Oryzias latipes: one gene and its partners. The protein of the gene in region 3 purifies or fractionates together with the protein of the main gene of each other region. This does not show direct contact. Links are inferred from orthologs where the notes say so. Each region holds a gene or a part of one and is shown on either strand. Other genes may lie near its edges.

The links.
Region 1: the proteins of upf1 (region 3) and xrn1 purify together in Homo sapiens (affinity purification with western blotting; 4 studies listed by BioGRID and IntAct, with this or other methods). This does not show direct contact. The link is inferred for Oryzias latipes from reciprocal best matches to the Homo sapiens genes UPF1 and XRN1.
Region 2: the proteins of upf1 (region 3) and regulator of nonsense transcripts 3A purify together in Homo sapiens (affinity purification with western blotting; 5 studies listed by BioGRID and IntAct, with this or other methods). This does not show direct contact. The link is inferred for Oryzias latipes from reciprocal best matches to the Homo sapiens genes UPF1 and UPF3A.

What each region holds. Positions count from the first base shown.
Region 1 is NC_019875.2:19,744,647-19,748,405, forward strand, and holds the start of xrn1 (5'-3' exoribonuclease 1), read right to left. Parts: upstream 2,825-3,759; 5' UTR 2,677-2,824; coding exon 2,602-2,676; intron 732-2,601; coding exon 499-731; intron 157-498; coding exon 59-156; intron 1-58. UniProt on the Homo sapiens protein: Major 5'-3' exoribonuclease involved in mRNA decay. Required for the 5'-3'-processing of the G4 tetraplex-containing DNA and RNA substrates. The kinetic of hydrolysis is faster for G4 RNA tetraplex than for G4 DNA tetraplex and monomeric RNA tetraplex.
Region 2 is NC_019879.2:7,278,032-7,281,790, forward strand, and holds the start of regulator of nonsense transcripts 3A, read right to left. Parts: upstream 2,729-3,759; 5' UTR 2,680-2,728; coding exon 2,542-2,679; intron 952-2,541; coding exon 845-951; intron 745-844; coding exon 638-744; intron 486-637; coding exon 387-485; intron 1-386. UniProt on the Homo sapiens protein: Involved in nonsense-mediated decay (NMD) of mRNAs containing premature stop codons by associating with the nuclear exon junction complex (EJC) and serving as link between the EJC core and NMD machinery.
Region 3 is NC_019862.2:13,859,679-13,862,230, reverse strand, and holds part of upf1 (regulator of nonsense transcripts 1), read right to left. Parts: coding exon 2,482-2,552; intron 2,167-2,481; coding exon 2,085-2,166; intron 1,991-2,084; coding exon 1,826-1,990; intron 1,513-1,825; coding exon 1,292-1,512; intron 1,172-1,291; coding exon 1,052-1,171; 3' UTR 1,049-1,051; intron 856-1,048; exon of another isoform or gene 744-855; 3' UTR 1-743. UniProt on the Homo sapiens protein: RNA-dependent helicase required for nonsense-mediated decay (NMD) of aberrant mRNAs containing premature stop codons and modulates the expression level of normal mRNAs.

The DNA of each region.
Region 1 (3,759 bases), on a different chromosome or scaffold from region 3:
AGATTTTGATCCAATGGGGTCGATGACCAAAGAGTGAAAAGCTTCAGATTAAACATACCGGGAGTGATACAGTTGGAGTCGAAGCGAGCTTCTGTAGGAAGCACCTCTCCTTTATCCAAAGCTTTTTTTATCTTATCCTCTGCTTCTTTGGCAGACCTGAATACCAGCACAATGAAAACAATGAAGAGATTTATATTTTTAAAAGGAGTCTTCCAGGCAGAGTAGCCAAAGCAAAGACAAAATATAACTTAATACATTTTTTTATTTGAGATGGTAGATTGAGGTTAAAATAACAGAAAGTGATTCAAGGTATGACTTGGTTTCTATAATAAAGGCATGTTTGAATTAAAAAAAAAATAGCTTCAACAAAAAAAGTACACATAATAGGGAAAGAAATGACAATAAAAAACAAAGATAAGTAATTCTAAATCTGATTTCTAAATTATTGGTGATAGAAAAAAGAAAGATGGATATCTGGGCTTCTGACTGTGTCTCTACCTGAATCTGCGTCCTCTCTGCTGGTTCATCTTGGCCCTGGGTGCCACACCATCCACTGCCATGAAGAAGACCTTGCGAGGCTTGATGATTCTGAAGAGCACCTCCAAGTAATGGAAAATGTCAGCGAAAATCTTTTCCTCAGAGATGCGGAAGTGAACGTCCTCATCATTTGGGTGGGAGCACTGGTGGATGATGCCATTCATATCCAGGTAGAGATTGTCGAACTCTGGAATCTGAGAGAAGAAAGCAAAAAAATAATAATAATAAAAATAATAATATTAATACAGTGTCATGCATGTATATGTTCTCAAATACTAATAATTTGTTTTTTTGATTTGTTTTATTTTTCTACTAAAAACATTTAACCGTCTCCAGAAATCCCCTGTCCCAAATTCCTGGGAGACAACACTAATAACAGATGCAAAAATAATCTTAGGTGTTAGTATTTAATAAATACCCAGTTATTAGGGGTGTAACCAATAAATCAACTTAATCAATTCATCAAAGGCAATTCAGGTCGGCCAATGATCGCAGGGTTGGCAGTTCAATCCCCGCTCCCCCCCAGTCAACTGTTGTTGTGTCCTTGGGCAATACACTTCACCCTCCTAGTCTCCAGTGTGGCTACACTGGTGCCATACTGTGCTCAAAGCGCTCCACTGTAAGCGCCTTGAATTTTAGAAAAGTGCAGAGAAAACCAATCCAATCTTATTATTATTTTTATTATTATTATACTCCAACAATCCAACCAGATGGATCTGTCTGAGGCAAGTTGGTAATCCAATCGACCTATAAAACTTATCAAATTGATTCAAAATTGTAAGGAAAACAAGAAATCTGGAAACATTTGCCAGCACCGTTCAGTGCCCAGGTATTTATCTCTGAGTGACAATGGTTGAAGTTTTGGCTAAAGATGTCTTGGATCCATTTTATGTCAGTGAATCGGATCGTTCAAAACAAAACATTATCGCTGTGAATCGCCACCCAATTACTGAAATTATAGTTTAAAAAAAACAACAACATAAAAATGGAGAGTAAAAACTTAGGGAAATAAGCTGACATGGATTTTAGTGCTTGCACAGCTGAAATTTTGGTGTTTGCTTACTGATTTTAATAAGCCTAGACAGTCACAAACCATTGTAGAGCAGGTTTTTTTTTTACTTTTGTAACACCAATTTGTCATTTAAAAAAATGATTATATTTACAGTTTTTATTTTGTGGAATAATAATTTTCATTATTATAGTATTGAGCAGCCCAAATCTGAAAGAAAAAAAGACCCAAAACGCTTTAAGGAACTGGGAGTAATGACGTCTTTTATGGATTTATTGAAATCGTTTATCTGAAGTCCTCCGGCCAGCTACAAGAAATTGCTCTAAAAATTTTAAAACGAAAAAGCAAAAATAAATAAACAAATAAATTAAAAAAATAAAGAAACAGAATACCCCACACTTTTGTCAGTTGGGCTTTGGTTAAGACTTCTCCTTCACCAAACAGTTACAAAATAGAAAACAACTGACAGCTTTCCAACACAAGGAGCGCCAGACTGAACAAGTCTGATGAAATGACTGTTTGGAGACTGAAATAGCAACTTCCGCTCAAAAATCTGAATCACTTACGTTAAATTGATATTTTTTTAAATGTTAAAAGAAAAAAATGTTCAAACTAGTGCAAGTCTTCACACCATTTGTTAACTATGGCTACTAAACAGCTATTAACATTATAACGCTCTACCTGTTTACAATTATTAGGCTTCATTATTATTAATATGTAGATTTTATTGAAATTACAAATAAAAAGCAATACATTCATAAAATTTGTATATTTAGAGTGTATGACTCACTAAAGTAACTCAAATAAAACATTAGGGCGCTAAACTTAGTGTAGGAATATAAACGACGTACGTCGTACTGAATGTCAGTCTGGTATGTCGTGCGTTTAGAATTATTTTATCACGTGTGGCATTATTTATTTATTTATTTTTTCAAAAATAATGCTCTTAAGAGTGAGCAAAGGCGGCTCAAAGTTTCGCCTCCAACTGTAGCAAACGGCTAGCTATGCTAAAGGTGTGAATTGTGAAACAATCGACCCTGACTGCTCGGTCCTACCTGATGTTCCTTGACAACTTCACTGAGACAGGGGTAGCGCTCCGAGATCCAACGGTAAAATTTGGGTACTCCCATCTTCGTCACAAAGCTCTAGACTGTAAAAATGTTAACACTGAAAGGTTATCTCTAAGTACTCTCAAATGTTTGACTCGGTAACATCAGAACTTGCTTTAGAGTCCGGCTTTGTTTCCGTTTGCTAGCTAGTTGTCCATCCGCTAAACTACTCCGCATGTATTTGGAAAACAACAGTAAAACATAAGTTCCGCTCACCAGTTTCCTTTGGCGTATTTTTCAGTTGACAAAAATCTTTTCGATTGAAGATTTACGAAAAAACACGTTTTATCTTTGTACGCGGTTTCTAAAAATAATACACAACACAGTGTACTTTGTAAGATAGTTAAGTTCCATATTTTTGTTTATTTTTGAACGGCTGCGTATAGTGTTACTAGCACATAAATTCGTTTGGCTTTCCATTTATTTGTGTTGAACTTTTGTTTGTGTTGTAGGCATTGCGACAACTTCAACAGATGAACCTAAGCGGAAAAACACCGTTTTTCCTTTTTACATTAATTTTCAGGCTATTATAATTTAAAGAATGTAATTTTTCTGGTAAATTGTACTGAAAAGTCAAAAGAGAAATGCAATTTTGTATTTTTTTCTTGAGTCGAGAGCTGAAAATATTATTTTAGTATAGCTCTGCATAAAGTACAGTTTATCCATCTGTATGTTGGTTTTTCAAAATGAGACTAAAAATTAAATATAGAAAAACATTACTATACTAAGGGTAAAAACAAAAAATATACAGTATTTGGTAATACAGCTCTGGCATTCTAATAGGCTTTCAATATCTTTTTAAATATAGTACTTGACATCTAGAAATAAAATCGGCCTTCTTCTTGCTTGCTTTTAGGAGCATAATTATATGTATTTATCATTTTGGGTAATACTTAGTCCCTAGTTTTAACAACAGTAGATTTTTTTTCCTTTTATGAATTGATAATGCATTTTACTGAAATTATTTTCAGCATTGTGGTAAAGGTTTCAATTAAACATTTTATTATTCGTGTTCTTAACGGTGAGTCAGGTCTGTTGGAAATTCTGTATATTCCCGTTTTAATTATTTGTTCTGTGTACTGTTAATATTCTCATTCAGGTAAG
Region 2 (3,759 bases), on a different chromosome or scaffold from region 3:
CTCGCATTGTGGGGAAAAACATGCTAGCTAAAGAGACCTGGCAACAATGCTTCATTTGGATGATGGATTTACTAAACTCATAAATCAGGAAATGTATTTTAGATGCATATCTGCATCAGAAAGGAATTTTCAACAATGGAAGGTGAGACTGAAAGACGGACATACTTGAGCAAAATTTGTACTTTTTGGTCTTCCATCACTCAAAAACAAATATATATTGCTCTTAGTTTACATTTTTTTTAAAGAAAAACATTCACATTTTAGATTTCTTACTTTAGCAACAATATATTTGTCTTAAATATAAAAAACTCACACAGACGTATTTATATGCAGCAATTAGCAAGAACATATTAGAAATAGCTAAATTCACAAGAACATTTTAGTACCTTCTTCAATGCTTCCAGTTTTGGCATCCTTCTTTTTCAGTTTTTTCTTGGAAATCTTCTGAAAGGGGGCAAACTCCACCACTGCAGGATATTCTTGACCTAAAAATTTTTTTTTTTAATTTGTTATTTAGCAGATAATCAAGTTAATAGTTTAACTTAAAGGCCATAAATGTGCCTACAGAGAATATTACAGTTTGTGTTTTGTTATTTGTAGTTATTATAAACAAAGTCAAAGAAATTTGAACCAATACCTTTGTTGTCGATAAAGACGTAGCCGTCAAATCGATCCCTGAACAACACGATATCCTCAGTGTTTTTAAAATTGATATATGCTCTTGAAAAAAGGTGGGGATACAGACTGCAATAAAAAAAGAAGGAAAAAAATAAAATTAAGAATATAAAACATATTTATTGAAAAAATGAGTAGTTTTTCAAACAAGTAATAAATCACAACACACCTTTGATCTGCTGAGAAGAACTCAAAGTAATCATACGATGGGAGCGGACTTAGTTGTTCTTCAAGCTGTTCTTTTGAAAGGTTAGGTGGCAGTCTTCTGATCACAACCTGTGTACAACCAGTTACTCCAAGGTTATTAACTGCTGTTCTCAATGAGTGTAAAGTCTCTCCACAAACTTTCAGAATTAACTTTATTTAAAAAAAAAAAAAAAACTATCAGTCCTGACCAAAAGCTTGACAAGTTCAAACATTTTTTTCAAATCATTACCGACTCATTTAAGCAGACTAATAAAACTAAATACTGGAACCTGTAAAAGAAAGATGCAGGATATGACATGGAATACACAATTATTTTAAATGTAGTTAAAGCTACAACAAAAGTATTTCTGTATGATACTTTTAAAAATGTATTTGGCTAGTTTTCAAAATATGTTTATCCTACTATATAACAGCATCAAAATGGGCAACAGTCAACAGACAACAAATCCTGAAGTGCAACAGGATATGCAGAAAATTAAATAACCAAAAAATAAAAAAAAGATGTTTTGAGTGACATGGAAAGATCTTTTAAGTTATTTTACTGATTTCTCACCCTTGTTTGTTTCCACATTTTAAATATTCAATTCCTGAAAACAGTCTACTGTGCCAAAAGAATAATAGAAACATGTCCTCGTCGGCCTGTTTTATTACTGCTGCCACTTAAAAATGAGTGCAGTTGTTTTTAAACAAAGCAGGTTAAATTTATTGACATGGGTTCAGAAAGCATTATGAAATAGTTAAAATAGGGGTCTGCAACTTAAAGCTCCAGACCCACATGTGGGTCTTTTACCTTTCATAGTAGCTCGCTGGCTAAAGACAAATAAAATGATAGTAATTACATCCTAAAGTGAGGGTTTGTCTGTTTGATTTATTTAAATTTGTTAGGTTTTATAAAATCACAGGTCCAGTACCTGTGATTCTATATTTTGTCTATTGCATCATAAAATAATAAAGTCATGTTCACGCACGCACACACACATACACACACACACACACACACATATATATATATATATGTCAGCAGCAGTAATAGGAGTTATAGGGAAAAGGTGCCCACCAAGGAAGACCTAGGTTATAACAAGAGAAAATGCCTTTATTGACTCATTGTTTTAAAATTTGATAGGAGTGTACTAGCGACACAGGAATGACCCTATTAGAATATATTTTATTTAAAAGAAAGACATGCAATTCTTCATCAAAATAAAAACAAAAAAACAATTTCATTTTTTTCCAATAATTTTTCTCTGACAGCTTTTAATTTTAGTCAAGCCAAATAAATAAGTGGATAAATACAATTTCAACATATTTCAACAGTAACAACGATACGAATGCAGAGCAGTGTCAAAATATGTGAAAGGGTAAAAAAGACTTTAGGTAATCCGTGAGAAAAAGCCCAAATGGCTCTTTTGGTATTAAAGGCTGCTGACTCCCACTGTTTGTTCCGTCTTTCATTTTTAAAAGATATGGAGCCACATAATGTGACATTGTTGTGAGGTAAAGATGAAATATTTGCTAAACATAGTGGAAATGATTGAAAATCGTGCATTTACAGTCTTTTTCGCTGTCCTCGGTGCTGAAATGATCAGCCACTTCCTCCATGTCTGTTGTCTTCATCAAGAGTAAACAATACGGCGCGTACCAAAACGCTGCTTCACTCACCTTTGAAAAGACCTCCTTCTTCTCTTCTTTTTGTTTGAGATGGCAACCTGGGCTCTCCTGCTCTCTTGGAATGTCCTTAAATTGTATTTCGACACTTTTCTCCGTGTCCACGGCCATTTGGTCCTTTTCAGACCTCATTTCTCTACATCTCCTACGAGCTGTGTGCTCGCGATAACTCACGAAAGTTATCGCGAGAGTACGCGTAGATCGATGTTGGATGCGGGTGTTATGTTTAATGAAAACATATATTTGAGTACTTTAGTTACATAATGATGTTATGTGTGACCTTCATTAACACTTATTTTGTAACGAGTAGAAGAAAAAGGCAAACAATAATTCAATACATATTTTGACATAAACGCTGTTCATCTCCATATGCTCCCTCTTCTTACCGCGCAGCTGGGATGATGATCTACGCGATCCGTTCGCCATCGCTTGTGATCGGATTACTGGAAACTGCGCTTCCCTCAAAGCTGGAGGACCGAATCACTGACAACCCCTGAACATCTCGAGAGGGAACTAGAGAAAACAGAACCAAAATGGAGAAACCACATATTTGTTAAAGTTTCATATGGGACAGGAATATTGATTACAAACTGGTAGAGATATTTTTGTTTTGACGAAAACATTTATTTGACAATTTTTTTTAATTATTTTTTATCAGTCTCACCATTTAAAAACGCCTGCTTCCCGCTGCTGTTCTCGGCGCGCACTCGGGGTCTCTCCGGTGTGGAAACGGAGCTCCTCAGGCTGCTGGAGAGGAGCGTGGAGCAGGTGTCCAGATCCCTGCAGACCCGCTCATTAGTGCAAATACCTGTGGACTTGGACGGAGTACAACCCATCCCTCCTCCAGAAACAAACACTCTTAGATCTAGTGGTGGAAAGACAGTCAGGAAAGGATGGTGGGATGTTGCCCCTTCAAGCAGAAGTCTCTCCTCCCCTCACATGGAAGACAGAGGACTCTTCTAAACAGACAAGAAGTTAGCCTCAGTCTCAGGAGTTAATTTGAGCGCACAAAAAGCTCAATGGTTCCCACAAATTGCTAAGGCAGCCCTGTGACCCCGAAAGGGTACATGGATTCTGCGGACACAATTTAGTATTTTGTGCACACAAATTTGCATTTTATGGCCACAATTTGGTATTTTGTGCACACAAATGAGCATTTTATGACCACAATTTTGGATTTTTTTGCACACAAATTGCGACAGACTGGCGAGC
Region 3 (2,552 bases):
AAAAAAACAAAAACGTCTGAAATCCACACACTTTTCCACCTCTGACGTGGTCGAAACCACCCCGTTGAAAACCTTGTGGTTGAGCCAGTGGTTCTCAAGGCAAGTGAAAGGTATTTCAACATCAGACTCGAGCACAGAAACCAGCGTTTTTGTTTCCTCTCTCAGAAGGTTTGTCGACCGCTGCTTCCTTCGTAGGCTGCCGAGGAGTCAGGGCCCGGGTGAACATTACTTCCCACGATTAACCTAATTTTAAGAGTCTTGGACGTTGTTCGGGTTGATCAGACAACCCACATCCAGCATGGGGGACTTGTATTTTTGTCTGTGCTGAATGCTTGAAAGCTTCCCGCACACATTTCTGTCCAGGTTTGGAGAAAGAATTCTTCAGATTCCGCTGAAAAGCCTCGATTCTCGTCGGACGACGAGTAAACTGGACTAAAGCCTTCACAGGGACTGTGTGTGGGGGGCATTGTTGCATGGATCATTTTCTTTGGGACTGAACCTCTTTTGGATTCTCAGAGACTGTTGATCTCTCACGTTTCCCTCAGCAGCCCGACCAGACGCCGCCATCTTCTCGACCTCCTTCCATCACTACCCACGGGCATCGCTTCCTGCCTTTCGCTTGTTCACGCGGCCTCTCCTTCCATCTCCATGCGCATCGGTTAGTGCTCTCTTCTTCTACCCTCTTATTTCGCTCGCTGGTCATTGGTTTGGTTTCGCTATCCCGTCGCTTTCACTTGGTGGTGCTTCGGATGTAGCAGAGGAAAACAGGTATCCATTTTATGTTTTTATTTTTTCCCAGATTTAAAAGCTGATGAACTAAGCTCAGCTCCAGCCTAGCTCCCTTCTTCAGCCAACCTGCCAGATGTAAAACACACTATCAGGGGTCTTTTGCATTATAGGTTTTAGCCAAGCATTCATAACAAAGTTCTGCAGATTTACAGGTGGATTAAACCCTTAAGTGTTGTCTTTGCGCTGAAAACGGAGTAAACTCTAAGTAGTTTTGTCTTGACATAGAATTAAATGTGCCCCGATACAGTTTGTGACTTACACTTTAGTACTGTGACAGTCCGGTCACTCCGCCATGCTGGTACGCACGTTCGCCCTGGTAGGTCGAGTCCTGGGACAGGGCCACGTCGATTTGGGACTTGAACTCATCACCCAGATAGCTGTCCTGTAGAGGAGAAGACCAGACACTTCCTCAATGATCTGTACATATTTGACTGAATAAAAATTAGGATTCTACTTTAAAAAATGCAAAATCTGTATTATGCATACACCCTGCATGGGTTACCTGAGACAGCTCGGGCTGGGAGAGGCCGGGCTGGCTCATCTGAGAGGGCTGGCTTATGGAGATGTAGCCCTGGGTCAACGGCCCCTGAGAGAAAGACTGGGAGGCCCCATCCTGGCTGACCTGGCTGTTTGGTCCGTTAACCTGCCCGGGACCCTGGTTCCCGATGCCGCGGACCCTCTGCCGCCCGCTGCGCCCGGGCTTCCCTTTCATAGCCCCACGGCCTTCATAAAAACAGGAGAAGGATCATTTCTAACCATTTTGCAAAACACAAGAAGCAGGATAAATGAATTTTGGCCAATGTCAAGTATTAAAAACAGGGAAGAACTTTGGTCTAAGTGACCCTATTCATGGGTTGGACACCTTTCCATTTAGAAAACGACAAATCTGAGTATTTAAAGTCCCACTTTGATCATGTTTTAAGACATTTAAAAGCATTCCCAGGTGTCTTTTTGAGGCCTTTTTTGAGCCAAAATCAAGAAATCTGTGTTGTTTTTGCAGGTCATAGCTTCTGCAGAGCGGCAATGGTTGGTTTACCTGCAGCAGGGCCGTTCGCCTGACCCAAGTAACTTGGGGGAGGCATTGGGGGCATCACCAGGTTGAACGGTATGGGGATATTCATAGCGGCCATGTGACCTGGGCCCGCCCCAATCATTCCAATCTGGTCGTGTGTTTGAAAGTACATGTTGGACGGACGTCCAGCTGAAAGAGCATTTGAAGACACGGGGTTTACAAACGACAACAGTTGCTGAGATCATTTTTGAATGTTTACAAATGTGAAAAGATGTAGAAATACCAGTGCTGCTTCGATCGTATGCAGATCCAGGGATGAGAGCCTCTCGAGCGTCATACATGGCAGTGCTCATAAAACGAGCCCCCTGAACAAACAAAGAGTTTGGAGTTCTTTAAAGCCTAAACTAACAGTCATCTATATATTATGTTTATTCAAAATATAATAAAATTACTTAAAAAATAATTTTGCTGGACTTTGGCAAATTCAGTCCCCTAAGAAGTGTGTAAAAGTTCAAATAAAGCCAAGTTTAAAAAAGAAATGTAATGCTTTTTTGTTTTTCTAGTAAAAAGTATGAACAAAATCTGATTTTGAATTTTAAATTACTTTCTGGATTGTCATTTTCATGTTGAGAAAAAGTCCGATCTGCCTTGGAATTAGTGGTGCAGGAGGTTGTACTCACGGGGTTGATGGTGTTGACAAGTTTACGGGGTTTGCTGAACTGCATGAGGCTCTCTCTGAGGTTGTTGAGGG